Linked DNA regions of Nothobranchius furzeri. The protein of the gene in region 3 interacts with the protein of the main gene of each other region in a pairwise test. Links are inferred from orthologs where the notes say so. Each region holds a gene or a part of one and is shown on either strand. Other genes may lie near its edges.

What was found. The genes of interacting proteins can lie anywhere in the genome.
Region 1: the proteins of nedd9 (region 3) and rfx6 interact in binary tests that used the Homo sapiens proteins (3 or more experiments, as listed by UniProt). The two-hybrid records come from large-scale screens. The link is inferred for Nothobranchius furzeri from reciprocal best matches to the Homo sapiens genes NEDD9 and RFX6.
Region 2: the proteins of nedd9 (region 3) and banp interact in binary tests that used the Homo sapiens proteins (3 or more experiments, as listed by UniProt). The two-hybrid records come from large-scale screens. The link is inferred for Nothobranchius furzeri from reciprocal best matches to the Homo sapiens genes NEDD9 and BANP.

What each region holds. Positions count from the first base shown.
Region 1 is NC_091742.1:9,789,821-9,795,929, forward strand, and holds part of rfx6 (DNA-binding protein RFX6), read right to left. Parts: intron 4,640-6,109; coding exon 4,486-4,639; intron 4,345-4,485; coding exon 4,221-4,344; intron 4,122-4,220; coding exon 4,060-4,121; intron 3,984-4,059; coding exon 3,906-3,983; intron 3,820-3,905; coding exon 3,792-3,819; intron 2,707-3,791; coding exon 2,599-2,706; intron 2,491-2,598; coding exon 2,413-2,490; intron 2,340-2,412; coding exon 2,226-2,339; intron 2,031-2,225; coding exon 1,981-2,030; intron 1,874-1,980; coding exon 1,714-1,873; intron 1,651-1,713; coding exon 1,506-1,650; intron 124-1,505; coding exon 14-123; intron 1-13. UniProt on the Homo sapiens protein: Transcription factor required to direct islet cell differentiation during endocrine pancreas development. Specifically required for the differentiation of 4 of the 5 islet cell types and for the production of insulin.
Region 2 is NC_091744.1:74,155,717-74,161,825, forward strand, and holds part of banp (protein BANP), read right to left. Parts: intron 1,873-6,109; coding exon 1,714-1,872; intron 142-1,713; coding exon 17-141; intron 1-16. UniProt on the Homo sapiens protein: Controls V(D)J recombination during T-cell development by repressing T-cell receptor (TCR) beta enhancer function. Binds to scaffold/matrix attachment region beta (S/MARbeta), an ATC-rich DNA sequence located upstream of the TCR beta enhancer.
Region 3 is NC_091759.1:25,490,942-25,497,050, reverse strand, and holds part of nedd9 (enhancer of filamentation 1), read right to left. Parts: intron 5,217-6,109; coding exon 5,118-5,216; intron 4,855-5,117; coding exon 4,717-4,854; intron 4,078-4,716; coding exon 2,944-4,077; intron 2,785-2,943; coding exon 2,695-2,784; intron 2,569-2,694; coding exon 2,059-2,568; 3' UTR 1-2,058. UniProt on the Homo sapiens protein: Scaffolding protein which plays a central coordinating role for tyrosine-kinase-based signaling related to cell adhesion. As a focal adhesion protein, plays a role in embryonic fibroblast migration.

The DNA of each region.
Region 1 (6,109 bases), on a different chromosome or scaffold from region 3:
GAACAGCTGTTACCTTGATGACTTTGTGCTCTACCACCGAGTCCAACCACTCGATGAACGACTCAACTGTGGCGTTTTTCCTCAGCAGCTCCTTCAGTTCCTGAAAGACAGTGACAGAATCATCTGGAAAAAAAGACAGAAAATGACATCAGGAAAATAATTTAATTTGGAAGAAAACACTATAAATAAGTACTTTTGTGGGATGCTCTCAGGACATTGTTATATCAACCTTCAGATCTTTTTACAGTCAAAAATCACTGAGAAAATGAATGATATTCATAATAAAACAAAACTTGAATGGGATGATAATTTCAGAAAACATGAAACAGCACCAAACAACATTTTGCTATAGACAATCATTAAAATAAATTTGTTAAAAAAAGAAATACATTTACAAATTTTGAACAAAAAATATTTTTAAATGTTAAATGTTAGCATCACACCATTTCAGGAATCCAATATTCGAACACAAATGTGGTTTCATGCTAAATAAAAATCACAAAGTGACAAGAGGAAAAATGTATTACTGAAAAAAAAGGAGTTTTGGTTATTTTCAAAAACAAGGTTTAAAAAATGACTCAATCAATTTTTTGCCGTTTTGTGATTTTGTTCTGGTTTGAAAACTTACTCAACTTTAAATTTAATCTTGAAGACACTTCCAGCATAAATCACACGTGGCTTTAAAAATCTGGGTGTCCAGTCGTGGTCCCGGAGGGCCACTATCCAGCATGTTTTTGAGGTTTCTCTGCTCTAACACACCTGATATTAATTATTCAGATTGTTGACAGGCTTCTGCAGAGCTTGATGAACTGCTGAACAGGTGACTGAACCATTCAATCAAGTGTAGCAGGGAAACAACTAAAACATGCTGGGTAGTGGATCTCTCGGACCAGGATTGGAGACCACTGCTTTAAAGACTTGAATATTAAATAATAATACAAATCAAATATAGTTTTTAAAACTGATAATGAAAATCTAACATGTACAGGATTAAATATGGCAGCTGAGTGGCCTAGTGGTAGAGTGTCCGCCCTGAGACTAGGGGATCATGGGTTCAAGTCTTAAAAAATGGGACTCAATGCCTCCCTGCTTGACATTCAGCACTAAGGGGTTGGATTGGGGGGGGGGGGGGGGGGGGGGTTAAACCACCAACTAGTTCCCAAGCACGGCCACAGCTGCAGCTCACCACTCCCCCAAGGAATGGGTCCAAAAATGTCACCAGTGTGTGACGGCTAACGGGAATTGAGCTTTCTGATGAAGGTACTAATACTGATATTCAGGATGCTGAATACAACCAATAACAAATAAAACAGACAAAAACTGCTAAAAATGTTAAGTTTTTAACAATCGCAACAGCCTGTGGGGCAGGGGGACCCTTAAATATTTTATTTCTTTGACATATTTTTATCATTCAATAGAAGAGAAAGTGAAACCATTGAAGGATTTAAATGCTTGGCATGTGACAGCATTATTCTCAGTAAACATGAAAATGAGTTCATTCTTACACTCGGAGTAAATATCAGACTCCTGGCCTCCAGCGGCCGATACGCTGAGCAGAGGCTGTGAGGTGATGCTGTTCAGATCCACCTTGTCGATATCCATCACCATGCTGGTCACCACGGTCTGGTCGAACAGCGCCGGGCGTGCTATCTGAAACCACGCAGAGGTCAAGACTGACTCTGAGATCTGACGCCACACCGTCATGTTTGTTACCTGAGCCAGGTGCAAGAAGGAAGTCTGTCTCTTCAGGGAGGAAACAAAGCCACGTGCAATAGGGAGCTTCTTAGCTGCAAGGCTTTCTGGGAGGTTTTCCAGGGAAGAGGCTAACCAGTGCTCCCAGTGTTTGGCAAAGTTTCTAATATCTGCTAACAGACTGATAAACAACATCACCGAACTTAGTAATCCTCTGATTTCATCTCATTTATCACTGAAGCATGAAATCAGCTTGAATTTGTATTTTAAAGAAATAGAAAAGCGAACCTGTCGGGCATCTCTTGCATCGTGGCGGGAATCAAAACATCTGTTAAAACCTGAAAAATAAGCACACAGATTATTCATTAATTACAAAAGAAAGTACCAATGTTTAAATGTAAGATTTAACATAGTTTTTGAAAGCTTAAAAAAAACTGTAAGACTTTAAGACTCTGCCGAAACCCTGCAGTCCCTCGTTTAATGAATTAGCACAAAACATTTGAACACACATGTAAAAGTAATTTCTGCCCAACCTTGTAGAGAATGGAGTCACAGACGCAGAAGATGTCGACGATAACCGGGTTTTCAAGCAGCGGCAGCAGGTGGTCGGGCATCCCCTGCCAGAAATGGAGCAGAAAATTCTGGATCTGAAGACAAAACAGCTGAATTAAAAAAGTTTAAATAGTACATAAAATACTGCTACTAGATGCAAATAGCCACCTCTTCAAAGCTGACATTAATAGCGTTGTCCAGGATGCACTGGCAGTGTGTTTTATACATCATGATCAGTGTGTCCACCTGTGAGGAATAAAAAAAGGCGGCTACAATCCTGACACCCAGAGTTTTTGTTTGTCAACAGAAAACAATTCAAAGGTTACATTAACGTGATGATATTTGATCAGGAACCTTTTCTCTGGAGATGTTTCCCTGCAGTAGGAGATGCTGGGCGTTTGGGAAGTCTGGGAGTAATGTTCCTGTTTTAGAGCTCAGGGAGTATTTCCTCGTGAAGCCGCCCTGCAGAACGCAACAGGCAGCAGACATATTTGGTTTGCTCTGAACCCAAACTGCCGCCCAGAACCCAATCACCGGCTGAGCCCTGGGATCCCACATCCCCTAAAGTTGACACATTTGAAGCTCAAGTAAAACCTGTTTAATTTAGGGGGACTGGAAAATAAAAATTTTAAAAACTGTTCATTTCTAAGAAAGAAAATTAATAAAGTTATATCCTTTTGGTATACACTTACTAAATATTCAAAAACAATCCGTGTTCTTTAACGTCTATTAGAACCTACTAATCTGAAATACAGATGTGGACAAAACTGTTGGTGCCCTTCAGTCAATGAAGGAAGAGCCCACAATGGTCACAGGAACTGGAGCAGTTTGCTCAGAAGGAGTGGGCCAAAATACCTGCTGAGAGGTGCAGAAGTGTCATTGGCAGTTACAGGAATCATTTGATTGCCTCAAAAGGTTGTGCAGCACTATATTAACTTAGGGGTGCCATCATTTTTGTCCAGGCCCATTCCATGACCTTACGGTATTTTTTTAATAATTCTGTTGAAGCGTGGTTGAAAAGCAATGTCTGACTTTCATTGGTTAAATTTCATAGAATTTTTATTTATTATTTTTGTCAGATTCAAGCTATTTCTGTGACCATTGTGGGTTTTTCTTTTATTGACTGAGGGGTACCAACAATTCTGTCCACGTCTAGTTAGGGGAAGTTTTAACAAATTCTAAAGAGAAAATAAACACCAGGAATGAGGAAGTAATTTGATGTCCTGTGCACACTTTAGGTCCTGACTTGTAGAAGTCAGAAATGTTTCTGGCTTTTGATATATTTGTATATGGTTTTGGAAAAAGGCCAAACGTAAGACTTTTCTTTTAAAAAGTATTTCAGTGAGTTCAATTTAAAGGATTTATCTTTAATCCCACTCTGTAAGTAACAAAGATATTTGAATTCAGATTAGATGAGCAGAAAGATGCTAAAAACGTCCTAAAAACTGTAAAACCTGGATTGTACACTAAAACTAATAAAGCTGAGAGCTTAAAACTAATTTAAGTCTTATATTAAATAATAAAATGTGAAATTGAGGGATAATTACCTCATTCTTCAGCTTACTTCCTGAAAATCTACAACAGAAACAAAGAAGACTTCAAATTAAAGACTTATATTGAGGAGAAAAGCTTCAGCTCTAAATGATCTAGTCTTACAATACCTGGTCAACCCTTTACCAGAATACACAGAGTGGTAATAAGCACTGCTCTCTTTGATGCCAATTCCATAATAATGATATCTGTGAAATAAGGTGTGGAATAAAGATCAGACTGTAAATAAATAAATCTTGCTTAATTTTATTGTAATATTTCTACTTGGAGTGTCCTCTGGTGCCGAGTCGTCTTGTTGTTAAAAGAGGAAACTTCTGCCGGATTGTCTGATGAGGACAGCAGGGATAAAGTTTCAGTAATAGTGACAGCTTAATTATATGTATCAATAAAGGTTTACAGTTTGAATCATAATAAACAGAAAGCACCTTTCCAAAGGTAGCAGCACAGGCCGGCTCTAGATTCTCTTTCCCACAGAAGTCCAGGTAGTGAGCATAGAGAATGCACCGCGGGAGACACACTCCTTCACACACGATGTAGTTCTCCTCAAGCCTGTTCACACACACACACACACACACACACACACACACACACACACACACACACACACACACACACACACACACACACACACACACTCAACCCTAACCCTACAGCAGGTTCATACCAACAGCCTGAAGCTGGGGCTCTCACCACTGCAGCGTGAGCTGGGTTTGTTTCTTCTTGTCCTTGATGATCTGACTGATGGTCTTTCTAGAGGAACCGACGCTCTCTTTGATGTTCAGGTCTGAGTTTAGTTCCACAAGATCAGAGTCCTCCTCAGACGATGGTGTCTCATTGCTGTCTTCTGCTTGTGATCATCATAAAACAACACAGAATTAGTCTGCCATGTTTTAAAGTATTAAGCATTCAAATTTTATTAATTCTAGGAGTTCACTGCAATTAAACTCGTGAAAACTTTTCTATTTAAAGCACAAACCTAGTTTTTATTAAAAAAATGGTCATTTGTACTTTTGACGAAGATGAAGAAATATTTGAATGTCTTTACCGGGAAGGAATTAATAAAAATTTAGTTGGATGTTTTTCTTTCTTTCATTTCTGTTTTGGGTTTTATTGAGTTTGATAAAAACTTCTCTAAACAGGGTTGGAATTGAAAACATGACACACTGAAGCCTAAACAACAACAATCTGCTTCTTGTTGTAAAATCTTTGTGTGAATCGTCACTTAAATCAGTTCATTTCTGAGTCTGATTAAATGTCTGTGGAGATTAAATAGACATTTCTCATCTAATGGAGTATTTGATCTGTAATTCTCTCATTTATTTCCAATTTCTTGAGAAATCTTCAAGGTTATTCTGCAAATGTTGCAGCCTTTATTTTCCTCTAAATGCTGACTGATTAGTTTTTTTATCTGACCTTGAAAACACAATTTGTGTCTTTATTTATCCCTCAGCTTAGATTGCTTACTGTCAAGAGTAAACAATAAATGAATTTTGTAACGTCAAAAAGAATCAATACACTAACTATTATGCTATCTGAGGACGTTTACTGTAACTCCATAGTGACTTTTCATTGAGATTGTTGTTAATTCTTTGTTTATATAAAGTTCATTTTACAAAAGATTAAGTCTTCTTGCAAACAAAAAGAACTGATAAATAACAAACATGAATATTTCTAATGTTATAATTATAAGCGTGGAAAGAAAACTATTACTGAAACATTATTAGAGTAATGAAAAGCTGACAAATTTAATTAAATCAACTAGTTTTCAGGCTTAAACTGACGAGATATTTAATAAACAAACTGTTTAACACTTTAACTGACTGGTAGAGGATATTTTAGTCCTCATATATTACTGATTTATTAACTATTTAATTTAAAAAAATCCAAATATGGAGCTCTTTGAATAAAAATTAATTATATTATATTAGTACTTTTATATCATTATGAATTTACACTATTTTTTAACACTTGTTGACCTATTTTTGACAACAGTGGAAAAAAACTAAAACTGGCGAATGAGTTTGCAAACAAACCCACATGTCTGAACTTTCTCTTCTCTTATTTCTTGCTTTATTTCTTCATTATCATTTATTACTTAAAAGGCCTTTTAAACTGTTTGAATGATTAAACTACAAACATCAAGGTAAACTGAGATCCTACATTGGTACGAGCCACGTGATGAAAGTTATTTTCAAAATAAGACCCTTAATTCATCAGAATTGGTTAGAAGTCATAAGTTCATTAACCCTTTAATGTCCACAACAATAAAAACATGAAAAGCTTTTTATTATTATTATTATTTGGGATACAAAAT
Region 2 (6,109 bases), on a different chromosome or scaffold from region 3:
CTAAAACGTCGCTCACCACCTGAACTTGTCCATCTTCACCAATGCGGTGGAACTGAACCTGCTGATTGGCCAGTGTGTAATGCAAAGTCTGCTGGGTAGCCGTCTCAATGTGTGCAGGTTCCTCGTTCATGTTTTCATCTGCTGGCGAGGACAAGGAGTTCACAAAGAACAACAAAAAAAACAAAAAGGCGATTAAGGAGAAAATAAATCAACGCTGCTCGTGAAAGCAGCCAGTATCCTTCCAGCATGACAAAAGAATCCAGTTTTGTTTACATTAAACTAATCTGCGATAACGCATCACATACACAACTTTACAAAACAAAGCTGTCTTCCATCTGTCACTGACACCGCTGTGTACTGTATTATATAAATAATTCTCCGTACTTCCAATCACCAGATGAAGCAGGAATTGCCAGGTGGCTTTCGGAGGCTAAAGAGTTTGTTTGAACTCTAAGTGATGCAAATTAGTTAGGATTTTTAAAAAGAGGTGCCTTTTCCCTGTTCATTTGACACGTAATTTGATTAAAGACAGAATTGCTGTTTGGTCTTGTGCATGTGTGCTGCATGCTGATGGATGCATCTGAACAAGCATTTGTGCTGTGCGGGTAACACTTTATAATAACTACATCTTATTTAGTCTTAATTACACATGAACACGCATGTAAGTAACTACTAACAAATAATTAATTAACAATGACTCTTACTTAATAAACAATTAAGCAATGCATTAATTAATGCTTTGTTTTTATTAAGTAAGAGTCATTGTTAATTAATTATTTGATAGTAGTTACTTACATGTTTGTTCATGTGTAATTAAGGCTAAATAAGATGTAGTTATTATAAAGTGTTACCAAAAAATGGATTAATAAGAACTCTGTTCATGATTTGTTAATTATGAATAAGCCATAAATAAACAGCTTTTACATGAAACTAGTCATTAGAAGTTAAGCATTAATTAATGTGTTAGTCAGTTGCTTAAAAGAATTTTGTTAATGGTTTGTTACATATGAATAAGAAATGAGTAAACAGCTTTTAAAAGGGACTAATCGTTAAAAATAAAGCATTAATTAATGCATTGGTTAATTGTTTATTAAGTAAGAGTCATTGTTAGTTAATTAATTATTTGTTAGTAGTTACTTACGTTTGTTCATGTGTAATTAAGGCTAAATAAGATGTAGTTATTATAAAGTGTTACCGCTGTGCGCTGTGGGGCGTGCGTGGTCAGAAAAGGAAAGGCCTGACAATCTACCCCAAGTGTTTCCCCCTCACAGGATATTTGGGTTTCCCCTGCAGTGCAAAGCTTCCCTGGTCAGAGGTGAGAGGTGATAACTCACAGGAAAGGAGCAGAAGGGCGTCGTGTGTGGATAGTAAACATTTGAAGCACCAGACTTCTTGATATCTGGAGGGTCAGACTGCATAATAGCTTTCATATAGCTGATAAAATAAGATGACTTTGAGTTCACTGCCTGTGACTGTGCCAACTGCATAAACTGACAGCACAAGATTAATGGATTTTATAAGCATAAATTATATTCTGCCTTTTTAAAACTAAGAACGCTCAAAGCGAGTAGAGCTGTAACGTGTGGATGAAGCAGGTAGAAAGGCTTTTTTAATTAGATCTCACAACTTTCTCCTTTAAACACATCAATACATGCCATCACCGTCTATGTGATAGTGTAGCTAATCATACATAACTCCACACCTGCTCTTTACCTGCAGTGGAACTGCGGGGTGTGCGCTTGGAGAAGCTCTTGACTGCCAGACTCTGGCCACGTTGCTTACGTCTCCAGGCGGTGCGACACTTTGAGTCGATGCTTTGTTTGATGCGATACCAGTCCGACTCCGAAATGCCAAATTTGTGAAACAAGTGGCCTGATGGACACAGAAAATTACAGACAAAATATTATCAGACGAGAACATTTATATCCACAAACTGTTGACGTTAAAATGTGAACTCTGGATGTTTCAAGCGTTACATAATCAGTCAAATCAGAGTATAGATGATCAAAGTCTATATAAATAAAGTTATGAATTCAAATGATGCAATATTTGGATGGAAAACTTTATTCAAATGAACAAGGAAAATAAAATAGTCTAGTGTACCCTACCACGCGGAGTATGTTGATGCTTTTATTTTGATAAGCCACACTGTAGCGTTCACCAGTGTTTCAGCTGACTCATTTTCTTTAATAGTCACAATTTACAGAGGAACATAAGTATTTGAATAGCAAACCTATTAAGAAACCATAGAGGCGTCTGAAATTCACATTGTAGACACATTCCCACTGTGAGGGACAACATATTTTTTTTAAATCAGGAAATCACATTGAATGTTTTTAAGAGTTTTTTTGTATTGCACTGCTGCACATAAGTATTTGAACACCTGAGAAAATCATTGTTAATATTTGGTACAGAAGCTTTTGTTTGCATTGCAGAGGTCAAACGTTTCCTGTAGGTCTTGACCAGGTTTGCAGACACTGCTACAGGGATTGTGGCCCACTCCTCCACATAGATCTTCTCTAGATCTGTCAGGTTTTGGGCCGTCGCTGAGCAACACAGTTTTAGCTCCTTCCAAAGATCTTCTACTGGATTTAGGTCTGGTATGGAGACTGGCTGGGCCACTCCAGAACCTTGATACGCTTCTTTTGAAGCCGCTCTTTGGGAATCCTGGCTGTGTGTCATCGTCAGGTTGGAAGACCCAGCCACGACCTATCTTCAATGCTCTGACTGAGGGAAGGACGGAAAATCTCACAATACACAAGTGCCCCATTCATCTTCTCAATATAGTGCAGTCGTCTTGTCCCCTTGGCTTAAAAGCACCCTCAAAACATTATGTTTCCACCTCCGTGCTTTACAGTAGGGATGGCTGTGACTCATCCTTCTTTTTCCTCCAAACACAGCTAGTGGGGTTTATTCCAACAAGTTATTTTTTTAGTCTCATCTGACCACATGACTTTTCTCATGCCTCCTCTGGATCATCAAGATGGTCACTGGCAAACTTCAGACGAGCCTGGACATGTGATGACTTGAGCAGGGGAACCTTCTGTGCAATGCATGATTTTAAACCATGATGGCATACTGTTCAACTAACAGACATTAGAAACTGTGGTCCCAGCTCTCTTCATGTTATAGACCAGCTCCTCCCATGTAGTTCGGGGCTGATTTTACTATTCTTATCAGTGATATCCCGCCTTTATCCTCTTCCATTTTCTAACAATTGCTCCAACAGATCCGTTTTCACCAAGCTGTTTAGCATTCGCCCCGTAGCCCTGTGAAGGTCCACAATTTTGTTTCTGGTGTCTTTTGACAGCTCTTGGGTCTTGCCCTTGATAGTAGGTGGAGTCTGACAGCGGAGTGGACAGGTATCTTCAGCAAGGTCAGACAAGTGCTACTAATTTAGATTAGTAAGGGGAGTAGAGGTGGACTTTTTAAGGCAGAGTAACAGGTCTTTGAGGGCCAGGTATTCAAATACGCGTGTTCCTCGCGGTACACATCAACCAAAAGAATGCTGATCATGGTTTTTATCTCTAATCGAACTGCCTTACCATCAAATACAAAAACAGAGATCTAAAGCCAATGTTTTCTGGTCTCCAAGATACAAAAGCTAGACACAATTTAGCCGCCAAACTAAAAGCAGAGCAATTTATTTTTAACAGAGTTGCTTCTTCTGTAATCACACATACTTTTTTAAGAAGAAAAAAAAAAAGACTGTGACCACTGTCTGGATTCTGTTTACTTCTCCACTCCTACTGGCAAGTTAACACAGGTCCTGACTGTGTCTACCCCTCTCCTCGCATGTACAGGTGTACTTTGTGGCTGTCTAACCAACTTTATAAATTGTTCGGAGGGCGAGAGCCACTTGACAGCTCGTTTTATTTCAGTTAGCAACCCAGCTACAACCTGTACAACCCGAGGACAGAAAATGAGATGGGAGGGTTATCTGATGGTATTGGGATGACACTATACGGCGGCCCTTTTGCACCTGATGGGTCCTGCACAGACAAGCAAGACAGGTGCTCCTTTTTTTTAAGACAGGCAGAATGAGTCACCCAAAAGTCAACCAGCTCTGCTCCTCCTGACTCTACATACTTCAGTGTCAGACCAAATCTGCATGTAACTGCACACACAGACTTCCAAGAGGAAACATAGGTAACAAAGAATAAAAACGCCTTTGTTTAGAGACCAAATGCAAAAAAGGGGGAAAAGTGGAGGAAAAGTCATTCTTATGTAGGTTTCACTGGGTATTTTCTCAAAAAGGAGATGTAATTTCACTAAATCTACAAGTAGACACGGGTGCTTAGTCATGAATTACAAATAACTGAGTGCAAAAAAGACAGAAAAGAGCCAAAATGAGAAATACAATGCCTGACTTCTTTTTAATCTTTGTACAGCTGGCCAAGTGGACAGGAGTGGGCGTGAGAGACAAATCTTTTTCTAATCAAAACTTACAGCAAATGGCCAACAGACATCCCCTTTCAAACGCTGAGAAGTATGAGCAAGGGTACGCAGCGCTGTCCAACTATATGACACCGAGCTTAGACAGACCCTCAGTTTCACTTTATGTCCGCGTACACCACAAAGAAATGCTTAATAAAGCTGACTCAACTCTGCTGGATAGGTTTGAGCCAGCAGGGGATCTTTTATTACCGTCATGATCCAACTAAACATAAAGAATATGGCCGATGGGATCGCATACAGAAAATGTGTCAACCATCGAAGGCCTTCCTGAGCTCAAAGAGTTCCTGAATTAACATCTTTCCACCAGACATTGGTACGTACTAAAATGTGTTACGAATTAATGTGAGTATGCTGTGATTAATGCATGTTGTCTTAAGACACCATGGGAATACAGACTGTGGCCTATTTCTGTGTTCTATTCAGCTCTGCACCTTAACAGCACAGGAACACAGCATGGGAAGGTCTTGGAGAGTTCATTTATGCTAAAGGGACTAAATGTTAAAAGCCCCTAAATTTCCTGCAGGATTAAATCTGTGACAGAAACCACGTAGTATGAAATACACAGTGGTGCGCGACTCTGACTAGGACGCTATTAAGACATTTTATCCACTTAATCATTACAGAGTTAAGTGGAGTTCCAGAGTCTGGGGGGCTGTGGCCCCCAGACTCTGGAACTCTCTCCCCCTGAGCCTGAGATCAGTGGACTCAATGGTCTCCTTTAAAAAGCAGCTGAAGACTCACTTGTTCAAGATGGCTTTTGTATGACCTTCTTCACCACTCTCTCTATTCTGTTCTCCCCACCTATTCCACCTTCCTCAGGATCCACTGATTTCCCTCTTTCGTGTTCACTTTCTCTCTTTCTTAACATTTTTTTAATCACAATTGCCTATTTTTGCTCATTTTAAATATATTTTTAAACATTTTCTAAATGCTTTTTTATATTTTTACATTTTTTGTTTTTGTGAAGCGCCTCGTGATTTTTATCTTGAGAGGCGCTATAGAAAATATATTTTCTTCTTCTTCTACAAACCGGTAGGTTTTCATATTATTATTCTTGTGTTCATCCATCTATGCCAGGGGTCTGCAAACTGCAGCTCTGGAGACACAAGTGAATCTTTGGACCTTCCATAACAGCTCTTAATAACTTTGACAATTAAAGACAAGAAATTTCACTCGTTTAAAAAAAATTGTTAAAAATGCAGGTGTAAGCTGCTTTAGGGTTTATTTTTTGCGTGGAATATTTATATAAAGTTTCCATAACACACACAAAATGAATCTGAATCATTTTTAGATCTATTTGTTTTTTTTCCTTCATCTTCTGCAAATCAACATTAAATAGAAAGAAATGTCCATGCAATTTTAGGAAATTCATTTTTTTTTATTTTAAAACCTTATATTAGAATCTAAATTGTGCTGTTTTGTTGAAAAAAGGACAACAACAAAAGAGATTTCTGGCTTCAGTCTTCAAAAAATTGTTATAATTCTGATTTTTGTCTCAAGAGTTTGAACTTTTTTCTCAGAATTTTGAGAAAAAAAATACTTTTTTTCAGTGGGTGTAATCCTATTTTGTAGATAATGTGTATTCATAAAAATTTGACTAAATAGTCTTTTCTCAAAAGGTTCTGTTATGGTTGCGACTAAACAAGTTTCA
Region 3 (6,109 bases):
TTACCCTCTTCACAGGCTCTCACGCCACACCTTCGAGATCACGCTAACATTCTATATAGGCGTAAAGAAATGGCCAAAAGTGAGACCAGCAGAGGGTTTTAAAAAAATTTCTAATAAATAGTGTTGAAAAGCTTCAATTTGTGTGAACTTAACCTAAATTCTTCTAAGAGTTTTGAAGTACACACACACACACACACACACACACACACACACACTAAACAAAGCAGCAGGCCTTGAAAATAAAATAAGAATTTTGATTTTGTGCTTTAAAGTAAAAAAAAAAGATAAATGTGGAAAAAAACATCTGCTGGTCACTTTGGATCATTTCTAATTCACATATATTTAAAAGTATATTTAAATGTATTTATTATTCCTATAAAACTATTTTAAGAAATGTATTATTTAAGACATAAAAGTAAAAAAAAGTTAAACTGTCTGCATGCGTTTTTCATTACCATTTATATTTGTACATCAAAATAAATAAAAATTTGCCCAACAACAAAAATAAATGTGAATAAAATGCATCCTGAGACCCAGAGGAACCTGCTTTATCTCATTTGAAAATATATTTTATTATATATTAGGGTGTTTAATTAATCTTTATGAATCTTTTCACTTAGGGAAATACTTTTGTCTGGGCCGTTTTTACTGAATGTTTGGTGGATTTAAATCTGTAATCTTGTCTTTCCCAGAGCCACCAGCAGGGGGCAGCAACGCACTGACAGAAAACGGCCTGACTTCAGGTCAAAGGTCAGAGATGAAAACAAGACAGGCTTTGTTTGTAGGGTAAGCTAAAACCTTTCATCAATATAAAAGTTTATTTTAATGTAAAAATGGAAAAATTCATTTATTAATGTTTCTGTTCAGCTTTTGACTAATGCCTTTCACAGCCGCAGAGAAAACACTTCCTGTTTGCAGTTTTCTAGTTCCTTTGGGGAAATACCAGTTCTGATATGTTTAACAACAGTAATGTAAAAGTAATACTACTAAGGTAATATTTAGGTAGTATAATGCTTACCTTTGTTCATCCAAACACGTCCTTCGTGTTTTTTTGGTCTTTATTGGACTCAACTTTTCTCTACCTGCAGATTTTAAAGTCTAGATTCAAACTCTGCGGATCTTTTAGTTTTTACATTTGGTTTGTTTATCACTCTTTATGTTTTAGCTGCTCTGTAAAATGAACACTTCAGGAATTATGGTGCTGAAACCTTTAGAAAAATAAATGAAGTGTTTTATGTGCTGGTACCAGAACCTGCCGGTACCAGGACCGGGAGGAGACCAGTGAAATATTTTTATATAGCGAATCGTTGTCGATGCGTTTGGATGAAACTTCAGAGTCTCCTGCTTTCATCCGTCTCGCCTTGGACACACGTGCAGGCCCGGATGGAAGCCACCTCAAAGCGGGCCGAGGCCCGGCTGTTGTGGTACCGGCGAAGCCACGCGTCCCTCACATCCGGACCGCTGCGTTTCCATCTGCAGCTTCTGGAGGAACTGAGCTGTAATTCCAGAACCAGTCTGTGGCGAGAGGAGGAAATGACTCGGCAGAACCTTGGGTTCTGGTTCTGAGCTACTACCTGTCTGCTGAGCCCTTGGTACCGGTCCACTTCACTTACTCAACCCCCGTTCAGACAAAACCACAGAGTCTGATGGTTCCTGAAAACCTGCTGCAGGTTCTAAAGGCTCGGTTCTGATCGACCCAGTCAGGCCCAGACAGAAACTGGTGTTCAAAAATCTTGTTTATGGAAGGAAAATCTAAACGGCCGAGGGGTTCTGAACAGAGCCGGGCCAAACGGGCTCCGGTTGCTTTTCAGGAAAGGTTGGTAGTTTGAAAACTTGTGTCAGTAAGACGAGTCTGACCCGTGTTCAGATTAGTTGTTTACTCTGAGACGAGCTCCACAAACAACAACATCTACAGCTCATAAGGTGCTTCAGACACAACAGGAATGTTCTGAAAAGTCCACAAAGTTCTACGGAGACACCACGACTGCACCTACAGACCATAATACAAAACTATCTACAGGAAACAGCTGATATTTACACACGCAGCCAGGAGGAACATCACGACGAGGCCATCTGCAGCAGCTGCTCCTTGAACTGCCGCGCGTGGTGCGACAGGTCCGTGACCCGGTCCACCATCTCCTGGATGGCGGCCGTGTTGGGGTAGTGCAGAGCGGCCGTTTTGGTGGCGGTGACCACCGTCTTCAGCAGGTCACACAGAACGTTGCTGGAGTTCATGACCCTGTTGGCCAGCTCGGGGGCGGCGGCCTGCCGGGACAGCGTGTCCCCGATGAAGACCAGCTTGTGGGCGCTGAGGATGACAAACTTGCTGTGGGCGACGAAGATGCGGGGCGGCTGGCCGGCGCTGACGCAGCCGAAGAAGGCGTCCACGGCGCTGAGGAGGGTGACGAAGTGCTGCTCGCACTGGGCCGAATAGAAGGCGAGCAGCTGGCGGTCCCGAGAGAAGACGTGGACGGAGGACGGGTCCGACGGAGACGCGCTGATCCACTGGGGGATGTCGTTCTCCACGGGTTGGATCACTTCCTGCTCCAGCTTCTTGAACTGATTGATCTGTGAAGCAACCAGAGGTCTGGTTATTCTCCACCAGAACCAGAACTAAAGCCCGTCCCAAACATCTCCCAGGTTCTGATTCTCTTAAACCTTCCTCCTTATCCACACCCAGTTCTCCCGTCTCACCTGCTCCTGGCCCAGCTGAGCCGGGTTCTGCTTGATGATGTTTTCCTTCTCCAGCAGCTCCTTCTGCTGACGCTCAAAGTCTTCTTTCCCCTGGGAAGAAACGGGAACAGGATGAGATGAGCCGGTCCCACGGCTGCGGAGCAAGGCGCTTATACTTTACACTTTAGGTTATCAGAGGTGGTGTTTTCTGTTTGACCCGTTTACCTAAAACTCTACAGTTAAACGGTTAAACCCGTAAAAGGTTCTGACCTGCAGGTGGACGTAATCGTAGTCCTCCATCCAGCTCTTCACACACTTCTCACTGTTGTTCATGCTGTCTTTGTCCTGGCCCGGGGGGGCGGGGAAGGCCTTGGTCCGGCCGCCGTAGTTGTCGTTCTCCTCAGGCGTGCTTCCGCTAGAGAGCGACCCGTCCGCGTGCGTCCGTCGGAACAGCAGCTCAGCGTTCCCAGATATGGTGGAAGTCAGCTGCTTGGCATCGTCTGGAACTGTCCTGGACACCATGACGAAGCGGTCCAGGTCGTCGCTCTTGTGGTGGTGCGGTCGGGATGAGGCCAGGGCCTTCTGAGCCCAGCTGGAAATCTCCAGAGCGTGATAGGTCTGCAGGAGGATCTGCTGAGAGTCCTCCAGGCGTCCCAGCTGCCGTCGGAGCTTACTGTGCAGGCTGGAGTCCGACAGAGACGTGGCGTTGGCCGCGGCTCCTCTGCAGAATGTAGTAAAGTCCACCACGGTGGCCCGGACCCGATCCAGCACCGCACGGACGTCGTTGGCCTGGCGCTCCATGAACGGGAATGTCCTCCAGTGAGGGGAAGCTGTCATTGAATGCAGCGCCCCGACAGAGAGGTCCAGCGCCTGCTGCAGGCGGTACAACTTCTGCACAGCAGCGTCCACGTCCAGAACCAGGCGTCCCTCGGAGCTGGACCCGGCTGAAGACGAGGACGTGGACATGCTGCTGCGCGTGCTGCCGGTGCTGGAAAAGGACAGGCGGTTCACGTTGTCTGTCACGTCCGCTACCGCGCGAGCTTCCTGGACTGGAACGTCGTAGATTCCCTTGCTTCCGTCAGTGGCAGAGTTTTTGAGCTGGGGGGCCGGCACGCCCCGGGGGAAGTCGTAAACGTCCTGCTGGGGGTCCAGAACCGAAAGGAGAGCCGTCGGAGGAACATCGTAAATGCCTTCGCTCCGGTCGGGGTTCGGGTTTTGGCGGAGGGCGGCAGGCCCGAGGCTGGGGGGGAAATCGTAAGGAGACTGATGGTTGGGGGTGGGCTTGGTGAGGGAAGGGGGCGGGACGTCATAGATCCCTTCCTGTTTGTGTTTGAGGGGCTGTGGGAAGTCGTAGTTCCCCTCCTGGAGGGCTGCGTTGGTCCTGCAGCTGGGCACCGCGTAGATCTGTGGACAACAAGATGATTAGAGATTCTGATCAACAGGAAACAGACTCTGCCGGTCCGATCTCCTTCCCGAACCTCAAACGGGCACGGAACGGGATTTCAGGATTTTATCCTGAAGTCATCCGAGTCTGCTCCAGACTTACGGATGGTCCCGCAGAGCTCCCACACCACTTCCCAGTTTTCCAGCCTGGATTTAGCTTGAGCAGCAGCAGCTTCCCGGCTACTCGGGAAAAAGCGACGCGTTTAAAACGTTCCCGACTGTGGCGAAGCTCTGACCCTGCTGCAACCCGACCGCTCTGCCTCAAAGCATCCTGGGAGCTCAGCGGGGGGAATTAGGCTGTGGGCTGTAAGTGATTTCCATCTGGAACAGCGAGACGGGAGCAGCCAGCTGTAATTAGGAGTAAGAGCGGGTCTGAGCGTGTTTCATGTTATTACTAACAAACCGCCTCGGCGGTTCTGATGAAATCTAAGAGCTTCTGGAAATAGAAACCTTTTGACAGATGAAGTTTAAACACAAAGCCACAGCTCTGGGAACTCTACTGGCTGCCGAGGCGCTCGCTCAGAGGAGCCGCAGGAATCTCATAAACGTCACCGACTCATTTACTACCGACAGTAAAAGGCTCGGGGGCTGCGCTCTTACCCCCTGCGAGGACGGGGGCACGTCGTAAACGCCTTGTGTTCTGGGCTCCACTTGAGACGGGGGAACGTCGTAGACTCCCTGGTTCCTGGCTCCGCCCGGCTGACTCAGGAACATGTGACCTGGCGGAACGTCGTACGTCTGAAACAGAAGAGATGCTTTTAGAAAAGGATTAAAAACAGAGTTCAGCAGCTTCAAACAGCAAAAAGATGGAATATTTAGGAATAAATAATAAAAGTCATCTGATGCCTAAAGGCTGAGTTTCCAGGTTTTTGAGCCAAGCCTGGAGTTCAGGAGGGAACTACAGATTTTCTCTGGCTGCGGGTTTGGGTCAGAACACCGGGGTCACAACAGGACCTCCTCCTCCTGATCAGGTGGAGAACGCATCAGGAGGGGACACCTACCCCCTGAGACCTGCTGGGCGGCACGTCGTACAGGTCCTGCTGGTTGTGCTGTCCGGGGCCGAAGGCGTAGGACTGTCCCGCTCTGGTCGGGACCACCACCTGTCCAATCACAGCAGAGAACAGAAACAGCCCGTCAGACTCTCCCACCGCTCGGCTCATTCCTCGTCCCCGAGCGACCCCGCAGCATGTGAGGCTGATCTTTTTGGACACGCCCCTCCTCGTTTCACCGTACCCGACGCAGGAATCCCGTTCGCCAACGGGAACTCGGAGCTGCAGAGAGAACAGCGCTGAGGGATTCGGGTACCAACGCCACCCCCGCCCTAAACTCCCGCACCAAAACGCCGTTTGGAAAGTTCTTCCATGATAAATAAGCCCAAACGTTTAATATGACCCCGTTAGCCTTCTCCTCTTCCCGTCAGCGCTTATCAGGCTTTCCACACCTCCTGATCCGTCTCGTTTACTCTACCAAACCTCAAAGACAAGAGGAATGTTGGGAATGTCCTTCCTGAGCCCAGCTCACCTCCCTTGACCCCCACTACAGGGTTCAGGCTCAGATCCATGCTTGAGACTTCCTGGCAGAGGCTCCCCGGGTCGGCCGCAGGCCTCGGAGCAGGTCCGGATCCAAGCAGCTTCTCGGTGGCATTTGTGGAATGTGACCTCAGAACCAGACGGAGAGGAGCGGAAAACGAGATTCCTTCTATGGGGAGGAATTCCATTCACGTGAGCTGGAGTCTGACTGACGGTTTTCCATATGTTTCTCATCAGTGATTCCAGAAGCTCACAGCCACATTCCTGTCTGTGAAGGCATCGCGCGGCAGAGCGCTGAGGGTCGGCGCTGAGAGGCACAGGTTAAAGCGCCAGAGGAACAACTAACACCAGAAGACCTTTACTGCTCAGTCGCCGCGGTAACGAGCCACAAACAGGTCTAGAGATGACGGGAAGCCCTGATTGGTCCCTTCTGAGTTAAAAAAGAGTCAAACTCGTCGTCGTCT